Linked DNA regions of Arabidopsis thaliana. The protein of the gene in region 1 interacts with the protein of each later gene in a pairwise test. Each region holds a gene or a part of one and is shown on either strand. Other genes may lie near its edges. The genes, in order: AT2G38510, GDU4, AT5G42420 and CNGC13.

The links.
Region 2: the proteins of AT2G38510 (region 1) and GDU4 interact in a protein complementation assay, tested with the Arabidopsis thaliana proteins (one large-scale study listed by BioGRID).
Region 3: the proteins of AT2G38510 (region 1) and AT5G42420 interact in a protein complementation assay, tested with the Arabidopsis thaliana proteins (one large-scale study listed by BioGRID).
Region 4: the proteins of AT2G38510 (region 1) and CNGC13 interact in a protein complementation assay, tested with the Arabidopsis thaliana proteins (one large-scale study listed by BioGRID).

What each region holds. Positions count from the first base shown.
Region 1 is NC_003071.7:16,122,362-16,126,093, forward strand, and holds AT2G38510 (MATE efflux family protein), read left to right. Parts: upstream 1-1,623; coding exon 1,624-3,084; 3' UTR 3,085-3,174; downstream 3,175-3,732.
Region 2 is NC_003071.7:10,557,199-10,560,797, forward strand, and holds GDU4 (glutamine dumper 4), read left to right. Parts: upstream 1-1,974; 5' UTR 1,975-2,280; coding exon 2,281-2,751; 3' UTR 2,752-3,041; downstream 3,042-3,599. UniProt on the Arabidopsis thaliana protein: Probable subunit of an amino acid transporter involved in the regulation of the amino acid metabolism. Stimulates amino acid export by activating nonselective amino acid facilitators.
Region 3 is NC_003076.8:16,966,959-16,971,078, forward strand, and holds AT5G42420 (Nucleotide-sugar transporter family protein), read left to right. Parts: upstream 1-1,696; 5' UTR 1,697-1,860; coding exon 1,861-1,999; intron 2,000-2,085; coding exon 2,086-2,270; intron 2,271-2,381; coding exon 2,382-2,582; intron 2,583-2,669; coding exon 2,670-2,831; intron 2,832-2,901; coding exon 2,902-3,267; 3' UTR 3,268-3,569; downstream 3,570-4,120. UniProt on the Arabidopsis thaliana protein: Nucleotide-sugar transporter that transports UDP-rhamnose or UDP-galactose and UMP in a strict counter-exchange mode.
Region 4 is NC_003075.7:433,717-439,602, forward strand, and holds CNGC13 (cyclic nucleotide-gated channel 13), read right to left. Parts: upstream 3,876-5,886; 5' UTR 3,688-3,875; exon of another isoform or gene 3,556-3,687; 5' UTR 3,527-3,555; coding exon 3,498-3,526; intron 3,372-3,497; coding exon 2,849-3,371; intron 2,776-2,848; coding exon 2,264-2,775; intron 2,138-2,263; coding exon 2,026-2,137; intron 1,936-2,025; coding exon 1,699-1,935; intron 1,611-1,698; coding exon 1,216-1,610; intron 1,136-1,215; coding exon 853-1,135; 3' UTR 501-852; downstream 1-500. Other genes in the region: AT4G01000 (Ubiquitin-like superfamily protein), read right to left, coding at 1-11; AT4G01020 (helicase domain-containing protein / IBR domain-containing protein / zinc finger protein-like protein), read left to right, coding at 5,370-5,886. UniProt on the Arabidopsis thaliana protein: Putative cyclic nucleotide-gated ion channel.

The DNA.
Region 1 (3,732 bases):
TTGTTTCTTTTTCTTTAATTTCTCTTTTCTTGTTCTTACATTTTCTTCAACAAAAAAATTCCAATTAGCTTTGACAAGTCATCACTCTGCTTATTCTTTGATTTCATAGTTTTCTTGTGTTTTTGTTTGTACTACTAGTTTTCGTGATCAGGACCATCCTAATATAGAGACGTTTGCTACGTTTAACCAGAGAATTTGGTGATTTTTGATGGATTATTATATTGTTTTCAGTCACTTTCGCAGTATTTTTTGGGTCTGGTAAATAATATGTAGTTCTTGGAAATTGATCTTATACTGGATTGAATGCTTCTTTTGACTGTTTTTATAGCATTTTAACCGAATATAATGCATCCCTTTTAAAAACATAGCATGAATAATGCTTCATCTATCTTTCACGTACTTGAGAAATACAATGTTGAAAATTCATTTATATATAAGTTTTCTCTGTATATATATATATATATATATATGTGTATATATGTTCATATTTATGCCTAAAGCGTTACTACTTACTACTAGTATGATAAATCCTCACTTTCATGGACTGAAAGAGATGCTTTTTGTGTTGTACTTACTTTATATTTCTTGACAGTTGGGTTGTACTTACTTAGGAAAGTGTTCTATATAGGTTTCCTCTCACTCTATTCTTTTTATCAGTTTCTTTACTTAGTACAAATATAATCTAGTTACTTTCCGATTTATTTTCTTGAAATCCTTATCCGATTGTTTATGAAATGTCAATAGTAGTTCATGATACTTTTACAAGTATCTATGCGTAAAATATTTTTTATATGTTTTTAAAATGTGGATATTCTTAATGAAGATATCATGAAATGAAAGGTAATATCTAAGCTGATTTTGTTTTTTCAAAAAGAAAACAAAAAAGGTGAGCTTTTAAAAACCCATGATGATTTTTATTTAAAAAGATCCTAGAATGTTGGTACAGTTAGCCATTCGCTTTTCTGGCACTTGTGAATTTGATTATATATTCAGTTCTAAAAGTTATAGAGTTTAAACCTTTTTCTCTTCCTTTTTCAACTTTCTCATCCCAGTCCCAGTGGCCATGTGATGCGACCATCTTCCTCGTGCTTACAAATTGTTCTTAATTTTATAATATGATAAAATATCATTTTCCGTATTGTAATGTAATGTCCTTCTGTTTCACAATAAAATTAATTTAAGATTTTATTTGACAAAAAGAAACAATTAAGGTACAATGATTTTTTTAATAACTCATGTATAAAAAGCTCATATAAATACCATTTTCATACAACTTATTAGAAAAGAAATTTGTTTGTTTATTGTGATAAAAATATTAATAAATGATATACCAGAAAATTTAATATTTTTAGTGAGTGCAATATCGTTAATTAAACGAAATTAAATCACGTACAAAATATTAAACATGATTAAAAAAGGATATTAAAGACTAAATCATATTTTGAGGATAATTTTTTTTTTTTTAATATACAACATACTCGTGTTGCGCTCTTTCTATACACTAATATCTTCTCGAGTGCGTTTTGCTAGAACTAGAAGCCTATAGAACATGTGAAAAAATAAAGAGTTGTTCAATTGAAAAACCTAACAAAAATAACATAATTTTTTAATTTTATTTTTCCCATGCAGGTGGGAGAGGAGATGGCGTCACTCACAAAAATAGCTTGCCCGATTGTGATGACATCACTCCTCATATTCTCAAGATCAATAATCTCAATGTGGTTCTTGAGTCATCTCGGAAAAGTCGAACTCGCTGGTGGTGCACTCGCTATGGGCTTTGGAAACATCACTGGAGTCTCCGTACTTAAAGGCCTTTCCGTTGGTATGGACCCAATCTGTGGCCAAGCCTTCGGAGCCAAACGTTGGACCGTACTTAGCCACACGTTTCAGAAAATGTTCTGTCTCTTAATTGTCGTCTCTGTTCCAATCGCCGTTACGTGGCTCAACATCGAACCCATTTTCCTACGGTTGGGTCAGGACCCAGATATTACCAAGGTAGCCAAAACCTATATGCTCTTCTTCGTCCCTGAGCTCTTGGCTCAGGCCATGCTCCATCCGCTTCGAACGTTCCTTAGAACGCAAGGCTTAACATCACCGCTCACGATATCTGCCATTGTATCCATTCTTCTTCATCCTCTCTTCAACTACGTCTTTGTCGTGCGTATGCGTTTAGGCGTTAAGGGTGTGGCCATCGCAATGGCTTTCAACACTATGAATATCGACGTGGGACTGCTCGTTTATACGTGCTTCTCGGATTCTCTAATCAAACCGTGGGAAGGGCTCGCTTTGCGGTCACTTTTCCGCGGCTGGTGGCCGCTGCTTTCTCTAGCCGCACCAAGCGCTATCTCGGTGTGTTTGGAGTATTGGTGGTATGAGATCATGCTTTTTCTTTGTGGGCTTCTTGGGAACCCTAAAGCAAGCGTGGCCGCCATGGGAATATTGATTCAGACCACCGGGATACTATACGTAGTCCCGTTTGCTATTAGCAGCGCCATTGCAACCCGTGTAGGTCACGCTCTTGGAGGCGGCCAACCAACACGGGCACAATGTACGACCGTGATTGGCTTGATACTCGCGGTAGCGTACGGTTTAGCAGCTGCTGTTTTTGTGACCGCGCTTAGGTCGGTTTGGGGAAAGATGTTCACGGACGAACCGGAGATTCTCGGGCTTATTTCGGCTGCGCTTCCGATCTTGGGGCTTTGCGAGATTGGAAACTCGCCACAGACGGCTGCTTGCGGAGTCTTGACTGGGACGGCTAGGCCTAAAGATGGAGCACGCGTTAACCTATGCGCATTCTACATTGTGGGCTTGCCTGTGGCAGTTACGACCACGTTTGGGTTTAAGGTTGGGTTTCGTGGGCTATGGTTTGGACTGTTATCTGCGCAGATGACGTGTTTGGTAATGATGCTTTATACGTTAATCCGTACGGACTGGTCTCATCAAGTGAAGCGGGCAGAGGAACTTACCTCCGCTGCAGCCGACAAAAGCCATTCGGAAGACGAAACCGTCCATGCTGAAGTACAAGACGATGATGATGTGAGTAGCAATGATCTGGAGATTGGTTTACTACAAAATACGAATTGACTAGTTTAGCTAGAAATGTTAAAATTATCAATCGACAATTTTTAACGGATTGTTAATGATATAGGAAACTTTTTTTTTTTGGCAAACTAAAAATACCGAAGATAGATTTGTGTCCGAACTGTTAACTAAGATTTTGTGAAAAGACTCAGCCATTTAATTGGTTGAGCTTAGCTTTTTCTAACACGCAGAAGTATGTAGTGAGAACAGTTGTGACGAATCTATCAAGGATCAATCAAGATCAATCACAATTCTACTTATGTAAACTATATATTCTGTAATTAGAAGTCTCTAGAACATCTAGTCTGTATATAAACAATGTAAATCATCTCAATACAAATCATCCAATTCTATATTCTTTATATGGTATCAGAGCATCATCGATACCTAAAAATAAAAAACCTAAAAACAGCCGCCTCTCTCCTTTCTTTCTTCTTCTCCCCCGTTGATTTTTTTATTCCTCTGTTTTTCAAACTTCAACCATGTCGAATGTTTCTTCTGAAACCGTCAACCTCAACAACACCTCCATTGTTCACATGAACATGTCGAATGTGACAAAACTTACGGCCTCCAATTACATAATGTGGAGCCGCCAAGTCCACGCTCTCCTTCACGGCTACGGTCTCACTCAATACCTTGATGCGACAAAAG
Region 2 (3,599 bases), 5.6 Mb from region 1:
AATAATTTCTTTAAAAGTAAATTTTTGTAGTTGGATCAAAAGTTTTCTTGACTAAAAAATGGACCGAGAGAAAACTACGCTATAAATTTGAAGGTTTGAACTCTTTATGTTTTTGACAAAAATAAGAACCCTTTATGTTCGGTAACTTCGATTAGTTAACTGGACTTCATTTAACTAGTTTAATTTCATTAGTCGATATAATTTTTCTGCCATTTTAATGGTATAAACGCCTATGTTTCAAGGGTAACAGAAAATAAGTATTAAGTTTTTCTCTTCTTTAGTTCGCAATGTGAATACATAGATGATTCCAAAATATGCTTTCTTATATATTTGTAAGAATTTAGTTTGAAAAACAGACATGGTCCTTTAAAATGGAACCTGTGAAAAAATATAAACTTAATTCTTTTAACAAAAAGAAAAGAAAAAGTTTATAACATTTGGGGCACAAATTTGCACCTGATCACTACATTTTAATATGATGACAGCTTTATGGATTATTGAGGTAGTGCACCTGGTGCACGGTAGTTGGTGTGATAGTAACAATTGGAAAAAAAAAAAAAAAAAAATCCCACATATGACTTTTATTTGCACTTTTGAAATTTTTTTTCTTTATTTTTCTTTTAAAAATATATTTTTAATATGTAAAATTACTAAATTAACTTTCTTAAATTAATAACAATTAATCAAAAACATATATATTTTAATATCAAATCAATTTATTTGTAATAATTAAAATAATTCAAAATATATATTTAGGGTAATAAATTTTTGAATTTGTTAGTCTTTTATAACTAACAATTCCAAATCTTTATTGCCCTAAATATGTTTTTCTAAACAATAATGACTAACAATATTCTACCGATATTAAGTCATGATTTTTTTTAAGCCATGTGTTATGGTGCAGATTTTAATATTCATTATTATTGTAAAACATTAAATAATTTACTTTGCAAAAAAAAAAGGAGAATTATTGAATTCAAGCAAAGTTTGGTGATATGTTAAGTTGAAAATTGTGTTTGGACTACTCGAGATTATTTTATTTTATATAAGTCCGATTGGTAACACAAAACTGTACAAAATTTTAGCTGTTAGCTATAACCAAAACTTTTTTTGGAATAGTGCAAAGTTGTACAAAAGAATTATACGAGAAAGCTGTACAGTAAAGTTAAGAGTAAAACTTTTTGTAATGTTTTTGATAAAGTTAATTTTTGCGAATGATAACTCTCAAAATAGTACAAGTTATATCGCTTTGAGAATGTGTTACCATTTAAAACCTATAACATGACAAATATTAAGTGATAGACTTTATAATACTTTTAGATATAGAAAAATTGAGAGATAGAAAATTTCTTCATCCAAAAAGAAAGAGAGAAGTTGGATTCCCAATTTGCGGGATCCCAAAAAAATAAAATCCCCATTAGGCATCATAGTGTGTCCTCACAAGAAGATAGATATCGTGCCATAAATTAGAACTGAGAGTAAGGGGTCTTGGAATCCATCTCTCACTCTCATTCCTCTGTCACTTCCAGAAACCAAACTATTCATCTATCTAAATTGATCTATTTGGCTTAAAGTATCTTAGAGTCATCAAGAGGAAACCCCTTGTCTTTCCAAAAACTTTCTCGATATCATGCTATCACTGACATATTATTGGATATAAGACTTATAAGTCTAATACCCAATTATTGTAGTTTGTGTAGTTGATTGATGTCAAAGTTCATATGGTTTCAAATTTATTGGTAAATATTATGATTGATATCCTTTTTTTGATTTTAAAAATCACCATTTATATATTTTTCAACAACCGTTAAGCAAAAATTTTAAACCAATCTGCGGTAGTTCTTGTAGGCATTTTTCAAGTTTTTTTTAGTGTAGTTTCTTAAAGATACTAAAATTTAATTTATCGTGTCTAGTTTAAATTTGTGTAATTAATGTTCGCTATCTTTCTTTAAAAAAACAAGCACCTTAACATATATATGTGTCTATAACAAAGTAAGTTTGAGTACATAATATTGCATGCAAATATATGCGGCAAAACTAAAAAGTAATAAACGGCAAATGAAAAAAAAAGCTGCTTTAATTCAAATAATTAAATATTCGGAGTGACTCACTTTCTTTTTCCCCAGGGACTTCTTACCTATAAATATAACACCTCACCACACCCATTGTTTCATTCATCTTTCCAGCTTTCTTCACTTTTTCCTTTATATAAAGTTAGAAAAACAAAAAAAACAAAATAGTTAGAAAAAATCTGAGAGAAACAGAAGAAACATAAAAAAAATGAGGCCATTGAGCATTAAACCAACATCGTTAGATGTAGCTAGACATGCCACATCAGTAGAATCATTTGGGAATCACCGACCGCCGATATCGCCGTGGCACTCACCGGTGCCGTACCTATTCGGTGGTCTTGCGGCGATGTTAGGCCTCATAGCCTTCGCTTTACTTATCCTAGCCTGCTCTTACTGGCGCTTGTCAACCTCCGGTGATGACTCCGGCGAAAGAGTCGACGAGGAAAAAGAGAGTCGGTCTGGAGTGAAGGCGGCTAGCGCGGCGTGCGAGGAGAAGGTTCTTGTCATAATGGCCGGAGATGACTTGCCGAGGTTTCTGGCCACGCCGGCGGCGAACAAATGCATGTGCGGTCACGAGGGTAGAATGGTAATTTTCAAGGAGGATGGTATTGGTGCTGGAGAGGAGAAAATGGGAGACAGAGAGAAAGCCAAAGAAAATGAAGAAACAACGAGTCAGTGAGCTTTTTTGTTTTCTTTTCTTCTCTCAGTCTTGTCTTTTTTTTTTTGTTGGGGAATTTTCCTTCGTGTTTTCACGGGAAATGTAAAATTTACTGAGAGAAAATTTTGGGTTATGATTAATGAATGTTTGCTTGTAATTTCCTATCCCCAATGGTGGAAAACTCGTTTTTAGTTTTTGTAATTCTCAAAAGTGTGATAGGTAACCTTTCTCATACAGCTTTAATACCAATCAGTAATAGAGTAAACTAAAACGGAATAACATAATAGTACTTAAAATTCTTACAATTTTATGTCATCACTAAGATCTACAAAAAAATGAATCATAGTATCATAACACTATGTTTGCCCAAAAAAAAAAAAAAAAGTATCATAACACTATTGATCATAAATTCAAAGCTTGCAATGTTTCGATGGAAACGTGATTCATCCCGTACACAAACTGTAATTTTATATACATTTTCAGAAACTAATGTAATGCATTAACCCTTTTGTATTACGTATATATTCTCACATTTTATATTTTGTAAGGAGATTCGTTTAGTTACTTTAATTATGAATTGTTATAATTGTGTCTCCTCCATGTATTTGTGTTACTTTCATATTTTCCTTGCATTTATATATTTTATTTACCATAGGATAGTTCTGAATTTGCTATCAACTTGGATATTTTAAATTAATTGAGACTCCATCTAGTTCACCGTCAAATTTTAACTATACTTGTTTAACTATACTTGTTATATAACGAGTGAATAAACTGGAAATAGTATTACTATTAACTATGAACTTACATTCGTAATATTCGAAAATATGTGCGTGAGTTAGTCTTGTCACAAGAAAAGGAATCATATT
Region 3 (4,120 bases), on another chromosome or scaffold:
TCTAAAAATAATAATAAGAGACAAATAATTAATCAAAAGATTACATGCCCAAGTTCTTACTTCCTCTTTCTAAAACACAAGGCCTCTTAGAGTACTCACAACAAAAGTCGAAGATAATGTTTTCTTATGTTCACCAAAAAACTTACAAAACTAACTCTCGAGAAAATCTAAATTTTCTTTTGAAGTGTGGTTTATATATGTATATATATTTTTATATTTTTTTGGAAAAGATTAATAATATTTAATCAGTATAGAAGTTCTGCTTAGACTCATTAATATTTAATATGTTAACTCATTATAAGTTTACAACTCAACTCATTGAATTGATGAAACCATTTGATCTAATAACTCATTTGGTTGTAAGCTTCTATAGTTATTCTTATATAAGTCTGAAAAAATATTATAGTTGTATTTTTGGATATCTAAGGAATTAAGAAAATTGATAATGTCTCACCTCTACGATAATTCCTTTTCATCTTTCCGTTTTGTTTTTGTATTATCGATTTATGTTCTTTAATTATTATTATTTTAAAAAAACTTCTCCAGTCATCTTTTTATTTATCAGTTACATTATCGTAAATATTCATGCTTCTTACATGAAAAAACGAAATATTTTAATGTGATCTCCACTAGTTCATGAAGAAAATGCAAAGTTATGACTTACTTTTATGGATTGGCTGCTTAAACAAAAAGTTACCAACAGACTTTGACTTTGACTTTGCGTAATGCAAAAATAACGGCAGCATGAAAAGAGGTTCCCTTCGCCTCATAATCTGCCTAAGTTACTGGTCAACAAGCACTACTATATATTTGTGTCATTTTCTTTTATTTGTGTTGTTTTTTATATATAGTAAATTATAAACATATTAATTATTCCTACTTTCCTTAGAAATGATGCATGGTGAAAAATTTAAAAATATTCATATACAAAAAAGAGAGGGAAAATAATATTATCAGTTCGATAAATATGTATTGGTTTTTATGAAAATAATAGTTTTATTCAAAATATTAGCTAAAAAGTACTCTCACACAGTTGGTTTGTTTCATAGTTATAGAATTTATTATGTGACACAAAAAGTTCAAAGAATATTAAAAATATTTGGAAATTATGCAAATAAACAAATATTTGTAATTATATTATTTACATAACACAATCTTATGATATTTATTTTAGAATATGTTTACATTATTTTATCCATATATATGTGTCAAATACGATATCATTTTTGGACATTTACATTTGTTGTAAATTAAATTGTATAGAGTTAATAAAAAAAATCAACAGATAATTTTGATTAAGGTTTGTGAATAATTTAGTCAATTCAATGCAAAATTCAAGATTTATTTGTCTAATCCACTAATTGAGAGTTTCTTTAGTCATAAATAAATAAATTGAAAATCTTCAAATCACGAAATATTTTTTAAAGATTTAATTTACAGAAAATCTCAAATCTCATTACAAAAAATCGTTAAAATCAAAATTTGCAACAACTAAAAAAATTCGATTATCAATTTTGTCATAATACTCATCTACAACTTTTGTCACTACATAATCAATTATTTTCTTGTCCAAAAAAAAAACATAATCAATGATTTTCTTAATGTAATTGTAATGATGAATTTTGATGCGGGTAAAGTAAAAACTAAATCTACTTACACAACTTCCTTTTTAAAAGTATTTATTTCAGATTTGAGATTTGTCAGATATTTTTCTCAACGTGAAAGAGAGAAAAGAGAATCTCTCAGAAGGTGAGCCTCCAACAAAGCGTGAATCTCTCTTTCTCTCTCTATCTCTCTATCTCCGAGATCGCATCACCGGAAATCTCCTTCTACGGTGGTGGTGGTGACAGTTGACCAGAGATGGCGGCGGAGAATGAGAGAAAATCTCCTTCAGCAGTCTCCGATATGGGAGCTTGGGCAATGAATGTGATAAGCTCCGTTGGAATCATCATGGCGAATAAACAACTTATGTCCTCTTCTGGATTCGCATTTAGTTTCGGTTCGTCTTCTTCCTCCGATCTCTCACTCTTTTTAATCAATTTCGCTTTTGAGATCTGATGATTTTTCCGATCTCTGTTTTCTCAGCTACAACTCTCACCGGTTTCCACTTCGCTTTAACCGCATTGGTCGGTATGGTATCAAACGCTACCGGATTCTCTGCTTCGAAGCATGTACCTATGTGGGAGCTTATTTGGTTCTCCATTGTCGCTAATGTCTCTATTGCTGCTATGAACTTCAGTCTCATGCTCAATTCCGTTGGCTTCTACCAAGTAATTCATCTCGATCTCGATCTTGAGCATATAGAATCAAATTGCTTTGATTTGAGCATATATAGACTTTGATTTTGGTTTAGTGGATTCACATTTTTTTGTGTTGATTAGATCTCGAAGCTGAGCATGATTCCTGTGGTATGTGTAATGGAATGGATTCTACATAGCAAGAGATACTCAAGAGAAGTGAAAATATCTGTTGTGGTTGTTGTTGTTGGTGTTGGTATTTGTACTGTGACTGATGTTAAAGTTAATGCCAAAGGTTTTATCTGTGCTTGTGTTGCGATTTTCTCGTCATCCTTGCAGCAAATTGTAAGTCTTTTTGTTTGGTGATTTGGTTTTGAAGCTTGTGGAATTCAAATCTGATCAATTGGTGTTTTTTCCTTCTGTGTTGCTTAGTTAATAGGTTCTCTACAGAAGAAATATTCAATTGGGTCCTTTGAGTTGTTGAGTAAAACAGCGCCGATTCAAGCTTTTTCGCTTCTTGTTGTCGGTCCTTTAGTTGATTATCTTCTTAGTGGGAAGTTCATTATGAAGTATAATATGTCTTCCGGTTGCTTTGTAAGTATCTCTCTTCATGGCTCTGCTAGTATTGTTATGTTATCATTGGCTAATGTTCTACAATTTGCAGCTATTCATTCTTCTCTCATGTGGTCTAGCTGTGTTCTGCAACATAAGCCAGTACCTTTGCATCGGGCGGTTTTCAGCAGTATCGTTCCAAGTTATTGGTCACATGAAAACCGTCTGTATCCTCACGCTTGGATGGCTCCTATTTGATTCTGCAATGACTTTCAAAAACGTAGCGGGGATGATTGTTGCGATTGTTGGGATGGTAATCTATAGTTGGGCAATGGAATTGGAGAAACAGTCGATTATTGCAGCAAAGGCTTTAAACAGTGTGAAACATAGCTTAACAGAGGAAGAGTTTGAACTTTTGAAGGAAGGTGTAGAAACTACACAATCAAAAGATGTTGAACTTGGCCGCACAAAAGATTAGAGACAGATGGATAGAGAAAGAAACATAGTCTTCAGGTACAATTTGTTCTGTTATAATTTTTGTATGTTTTGTGTTATCTAAACCAAGAGATCGGATCCTCGGAGATTAGTGTCTAGGCTTCGATCTAAAGTTTCCTTGGTTATACAAATGTTTTGTGTTATTTATATCTTTTTACCCAATTCCATGGAAATAACTTCAATGACCACATGTTCTTGTTTTACGTAGCACTCAAAGAGTATATTCCTTTATTTATCTTATAGAATATGACATCAAATGTAGAGTATATTCCATTTGATAAAACATTCATATGGATAGTGAAAACAAGAATACTGGAGAAGACTTAAAAGAACTTCTGATAAAAACATTCATATGCTCCCAAGTAATGTGAAAATTGTAAATGAGAAGGGGAAAAATGTTATTTAATACCTGAACTTTCAAAAAGTGGCCAAATTAACCGTGAATTTTTGAAATGGCCGTTTTATACCTCAACAAAAAGTTGACTTCTAATTTAACCTATAAGTTATCGTTGACCCGGCCAAATCGACTCACCATTAACACTTCTTAACAGCTCTCCTAACAGCGTAACTAACAACTGTTTTTGTCCTTAAACCAACAATAACGGCTGTTAGGCCATGTTTTGTAACGGCTGTTAGGAGCGCTGTTAAGGAGTGTTAACGGTGAGTCTATTTGGCCGGGTCAACGACAAATTATAGGTTAAATTAGAAGTCAACGATAAATTATAGGTTAAATTAGAAGTCAACTTTTTGTTGAGGTATAAAACGACCATTTCAAGAGTTCACGGTTAATTTGGCCATTTTTTGAAAGTTCAGGTATTAAATAACATTTTTCCCAA
Region 4 (5,886 bases), on another chromosome or scaffold:
TGATCCGCCATCGATTTTCGATTCAAAAGCTTGGACGAAGAAGAAGAAGTTCGATTTCTAGAGAGGAATCAGAGAGAAATTGGGGAAATTTGACGGAGCCCTAATAATAAGTCTCTCTCTCTCTCGCTGCTTGTTGGGCTAAGATTATTATCTTATCCACACTTTTGGGTTTATGACTGGGCTTTATATTGTCTGAATCTATGTCGGTCAGGAGAAATCGATTTTTTTTGTACAATTTGACCAAACTAATATCTATATATGATATGGTAAATGATGTATTATTAAGTAAAAATTATCTACAATTGAATCTTATAATAAATATATATATATGGAAAAATTACTCTTAGATAAAATAACATGATAAATTGTATGTTATTGGTTAAACATGTTATTTGTTTTTTTTTGGTCAAAACACACACATGAAAAAACAATTTTTAAATAAATTTGTTATATTTACTCCAAAGCTTTTAAAACTAAAAAAAAAATTAAGGTTACCTAAAGTTATCAAATTCATATATATAACCATGTTTTATTTTTATAAAGGTATCTTCAATAGTGATCTCTATATTTTCCTTTATTTATAGATATGACTCTATTTTAGAGGCTGCTCCAATGGTCACATGTAAAATAGAATTTTCTTTAAAATAGAGGAGATATCATCTCTATAAATAAAGATCTCTACATTTAGTCTCTATTTTTTTCCTATTTTTGAGGAAACTCTATTTTAAAAGTGACCATTGGAGCATCGTGCCTATAAAATAGGGTCACTAAATTTTTGTAATTAGTTTAAGCTTTAATGTCGTTGACACAATATTATATACAAGTGGTAAGTGGACATGTGTAAGAGATATTTTAAGGGTTTCGGAGACTGAAATCAGGCTCGGAGGGTTTAGGAGGTAGCAAAGGTAGGTTGTTTGTACGCAGATTGCGAAGCGCGTTTGAAGCAAACCGCGACGCGTATAACGTTGCAACCAGGCTAGACGAAGACGCCGCATTGCGTTCGCGTTTTGTGATCGCGTTTCGGAATCGATCTTCTTCTTCGGTTAATGATCTAGCTAGTTTCCTCCGGCAATGTCTCCGCCACGCCGCTTGTATGAAAGACGCACCCCAAGTTCTCCATTGAACCGAATAAAACCTGACAGTTAAACCGAATTAAACCAAACAGAACCGGAGATTGGAGAAGCAGAGAGATCAGTCAAAAGAGACCAAACAAACCTGAAAGTATGTTGAAGCTGTTTGCTATGTAGTCGTCTGAACTGTGAAGCAACAAGCTTGAGATCATCTGCTGCAAGAGCAAAGGCTTCTACTTCGGTTAAAGCTTGAACTGTTCTAGTCGATATCGGAAAATGAGACGAAGATTGAGGATCTAATGCCCATGTGAGAAGATCTTCGCCGCAAAAGTCACTAGGTTTTAGGTATACGGCGTTAAAGAAGCCGGTCCGGCCACCGTTTGTGGTGGCGCTCATCAGTTTTCCTCTCATGACAAACAACATCTCTTCCACTGGATCTCCTTCTCGAATTGCATAGCTGTTCTCGGTGTAGAGCACTGGTTTTAGCTTGTCACACACGGCATCTAGCAATTGCTCATCCATTATCTCGAACAGAGGTACCTATATATATTTGATTCGATCAATGATTATTTGAATGAAATGTCAAATTTGAGGATCAAAGAGATAAGGTGGAACTAGAAGCACTTACTTTCTTGAGAAGATCGAGGCAGAAATGGCGTTTGATGTCTCTCCTGAGGTCTTTAGGGAGATTACGCAGAAGGTTTTCTTCTTCTACTCCTCTAGTTTCCTGCCATTTGTACTGCTCATACCTTCTGATACGTTTCCTCAAGTCATCGGGTAACATTCGATGAGACATCCATTGCTCTGCATCTCTTTTTCTCACTCTCATCTCCTCTTCCCTCACTGTAGTTGATTCCAAGTATTTCTGTTATGGAAAGTGGAAACATCAGTAGTGTTTTATCTTCCTTGGGGATCAAGTAAGTGATGGAAAAAAGGCAGTGAAATGAATATATACCTGCATATTGCCGATAAGTAGTGCGAATAAGACTAGTCCAGATATACAAATTGATACAGCAAATATGATTTCCCCAACGAATTTGCTTGTATTGAGATTTTGTCCCAATGCACTGCAGCGAGTGAGAAACAGCAAGTGATCAGATTAGTGTTTCATGCTCAACATATCTTAGCCAGCCATCAAGTGTGTCACATGAATCCTAAATTACTAATAACTAGATAGAGAGAGTGTTACAAACCTTAAATTACGCAAACCCCACCAGAAGCAGTAGAAGAACTTCTTCCAGAAATCATCTGATTCAACAATCCCACTCTTTAAAGCATCAGTAAAGATACCAAAGTTGAAGACAGTTGAATTTGTTATATCATCAGGGTTGATAAACGGGCACGAGGTAGTCAGGAAATCGTTTCTAACACTACTGTTTCCATCGCAGTAGAGAAATCTAAAGTTACACACTTCTGGTATCTTCTCACAAGCTTCACGCCAGCATCTGTCTTCTCGTTCTACTGATATTAAGTACCATAAGGCTCCAAACACATGACTGGCTAACATATAGAGAGATAGGTTCCAAGCAGCTCCAGCCCAAGCGGTTTCAGTAACTATGCCAGATGTTCTTGTAACTTCAGTGTAAAGTGGATAGATACGAAGAATCCTTGGAATGTATTGAGTAAATATGACAGTTATCAAATAGTCCTTAGTGATCAAAGAGACCGGCTTGTTGACATTGGGGATGACAGCTAAGACTACAAGCTGCAGCAGATACAACAGAATATTAAAGAACCATCAAGAAGGAACTATAAAACCATTAGGAACTAAAGGTTACCTGTGGGAGTGGAAGGATAGAAAGAAGATCGATGATGAAGTAGGAGGAGAGGTACTTGATGGCTATAGCTTTAGGATCATCAACCAACTCGCCTCTTCCGAAAACACGAGAAGAAGGAGAGATATAAGCAGTTCTAAACTGAAACACAATGTGAATGATGTAGAAAGCATCTATAAACGTGCGAAGCACACTAGCTGCTATCTCCAAGTTACGATGCAAATTAAGACAGTGTCTTTCTCCATCAACAATAGGAATATAGAAAAACAATGGATCAATAGCCAAAGCAATCACTGAAGCAAAAAGAAAGATTTTGTTCCAGTTCTGTAAAAAAGATCCTTGTGGGTTTATAATATTCTTCTGTGTAGTGGTACTAGAATTAGAATCTCTCTTCTTATTATGTGAACCAAAACTTAAAGGTTTCTTAAGTCCTCTACGAACATTCTTCAAAACTGTGTTTAGAGATGGTCTAGCTTTATTTCTTCCGTAACCATACTCTGTTCCCTCTGAAATCCAATCTCTGAACCTAAACAAAAAATCATCAACAAAAAAGAATATTTTTTCTGAGAATCATTCATATCCATAGTTTCTCAGTAAATTCATTCTAAAAAAAAAAAAAGACAGAGATTAAAGAAAGCAAGCAAACAACAACCTTACACGATTGTTGCGGCCAAAAGCCATGAGTCAAGCTTTTTTTGCTATAACGGATCCTGAATCATAAGAACATCGATTTGATCGCTTTAATTCGTTATCCCCAAGTTTACAGTAACAGAAAAAAAAAAAAAAGAAGAAGAAGAAGAAACGGAAACTAAGAAATTAAAACATTTATATCCGAAACTGACCAGAACGTTGAAGTAACTGAGAGAAGCGATATAAGAAAGATTATAGTAAGAATTTTCCGATGATCTGAAATTGGGAAAATTCTCGAAATTAATTCTCTGAAGTTTTTTTTTGAAGCAGTCAAATAAGCTATCATCGTAGAGTCAAGCTTGGCATGGCGCTGGAAAATGGAGACTCCATTGGCAGTTTCTTCGAAATTGTGTGCATTTTACAATAAAAGACAAAAGAGAGGGAATTATTAAAGAGTCAAAAACATTTGATGGGCCTAACCTTAATTAAAAGCCCAATTCGATATTGAATTTGATTTTAAAATTCAGAACTTGTTATATATCAGACCAACACAGTAAACATCATAGATTCCAGTAATGCATCAGCTATAAACAGATCCTAGCAGTGTGAAATAGTAAATATGCTACGATTTAAAGGTTTGGATCCAAAGAATTTTACCAACTTCATAGCAGATTGTTCACACTCTACACTCAATAAGCCAAATGTAAACAAAAAGATGACCAAAGATCTTCACAAATCTACCATGAATCACAAAATCTATGAAGACAATGTGATTTAAAGCAAAGATCTTACAGTTTTTATGGGCTCTTAGTTAAATTTTGAGATAGTAAATTTTCATATAGGCCCAACCGCCCAAGTGAGCAATCTTGCAGGACTTTTGTGTTGTTTATGGCTTTTGTCTTGTCTGACTCATGAAATCTTGTTTTTTTTTGTAGATAAAAGAACGATAAATGACGCTTTTAAAACTTTTTAAAGACGAGAGTTCTAATAAAATTAGGAAATAATAATATATGATGTTGACAAAAAATGTAGAAAAATATATGAAATTTTTATTGGCACGAAAAATTTGTAGCGAACCGCATCATATCATCACTTATATAAGCAATATTTTTTGAAAATAACTCATTTGAATATCATTAATTAAGCAGATGAGAAAAAATGATATGAGGTTATTGAAATTTTTAACCAAATTGTTTTTTATATAAAACATGTAACACTTTCTGTTTGTTTTTTCTTTTATATAATTTTGTTAACACCTTTCTATATTTTCTGCTTTCAATATTTTCTATTTTCTTTTATTTTGAAATAGTATTTTTTTTTGTAGGGATTTGAAAATAGTTTTTTTTTTGTAGGGATTTTAAAATAGTTTTTGAAACTACTAACTAATTATTAATAAAATTCAATGCTTTGAATAAAATCTAAATGGTATACAAATATTAAACTTTACAAGAATATGAGTTAACTATTTAATACCTTTAAGATTTCATATTTACTTTTGATGATATGTACATTTTAATACGTATATGGCAATATCATTGGTAGATACACTATTTCTAACTTAAATTTTAAAATGTGGTAAAAACATAAAATTGAAATACTAAGAAATGTTACTTTAACACTTTTATCCTCAAATTTGGATTTCTGGATGTTTCTATAGGTCGAACCAATAATTAAAGAATTGATAGTAACAAAATGGGTTTTAATATTGATTAGAAGAAAATTAAATTAGGTTAAAGAAAAAGGAAAGAGTAGACGAAAAGTTAAATAAATTTTAATAGGGTTTTAATATTGATTGATATAACTCTCTGACTCTTCTGTGACTCTTTTCAACTTCTGACTCTTTCTCTTTCGCTCTCTCATTCTTAACAAGAAAAAAAACTGGCATCATCTCATCATGAGGAACTCTTTTCCTCCTTCAGACGGTGGGAGATCGACGACTGATCGTCGTCAGCAGTCGTTTCCCTCATCCTCAACGAACCGTTATAACTCTCGCTCTGCACAATCTTCTCCGCCGCTCAACCACTGTACTACTTGGAACCAGCAACACTCTCAGTACCATAACACTAATTTCCCGCCAAATTACAGACGTGATCGTGCTCCGTCGTCGGGATTCTCTCCTCCAGTCACGCGGGCTAGGCCTAATTTCATCGTTCAGCTGCTTCACCCCGCCGCCGCTAACAGTGACACAAAGCTGTCTAAGAAGCAAGAGATCGAGAGTATCGCTTTGCTTTGCGAAATTCCGGAGGAATCAGTTCACGTGCCTCAATTTGGTTGTATCGCTGCAAGCTTCAGTTTTCGTCAGTGGGTCGATGCGCGTTCTGCCGTTGTGGCTCTTTGGGATTATCGTCTTCAAGGGAGACATGATTTTGTTCCTGAGCTGATTCCTAATGTTGTTGTTCCGTCTGACATGG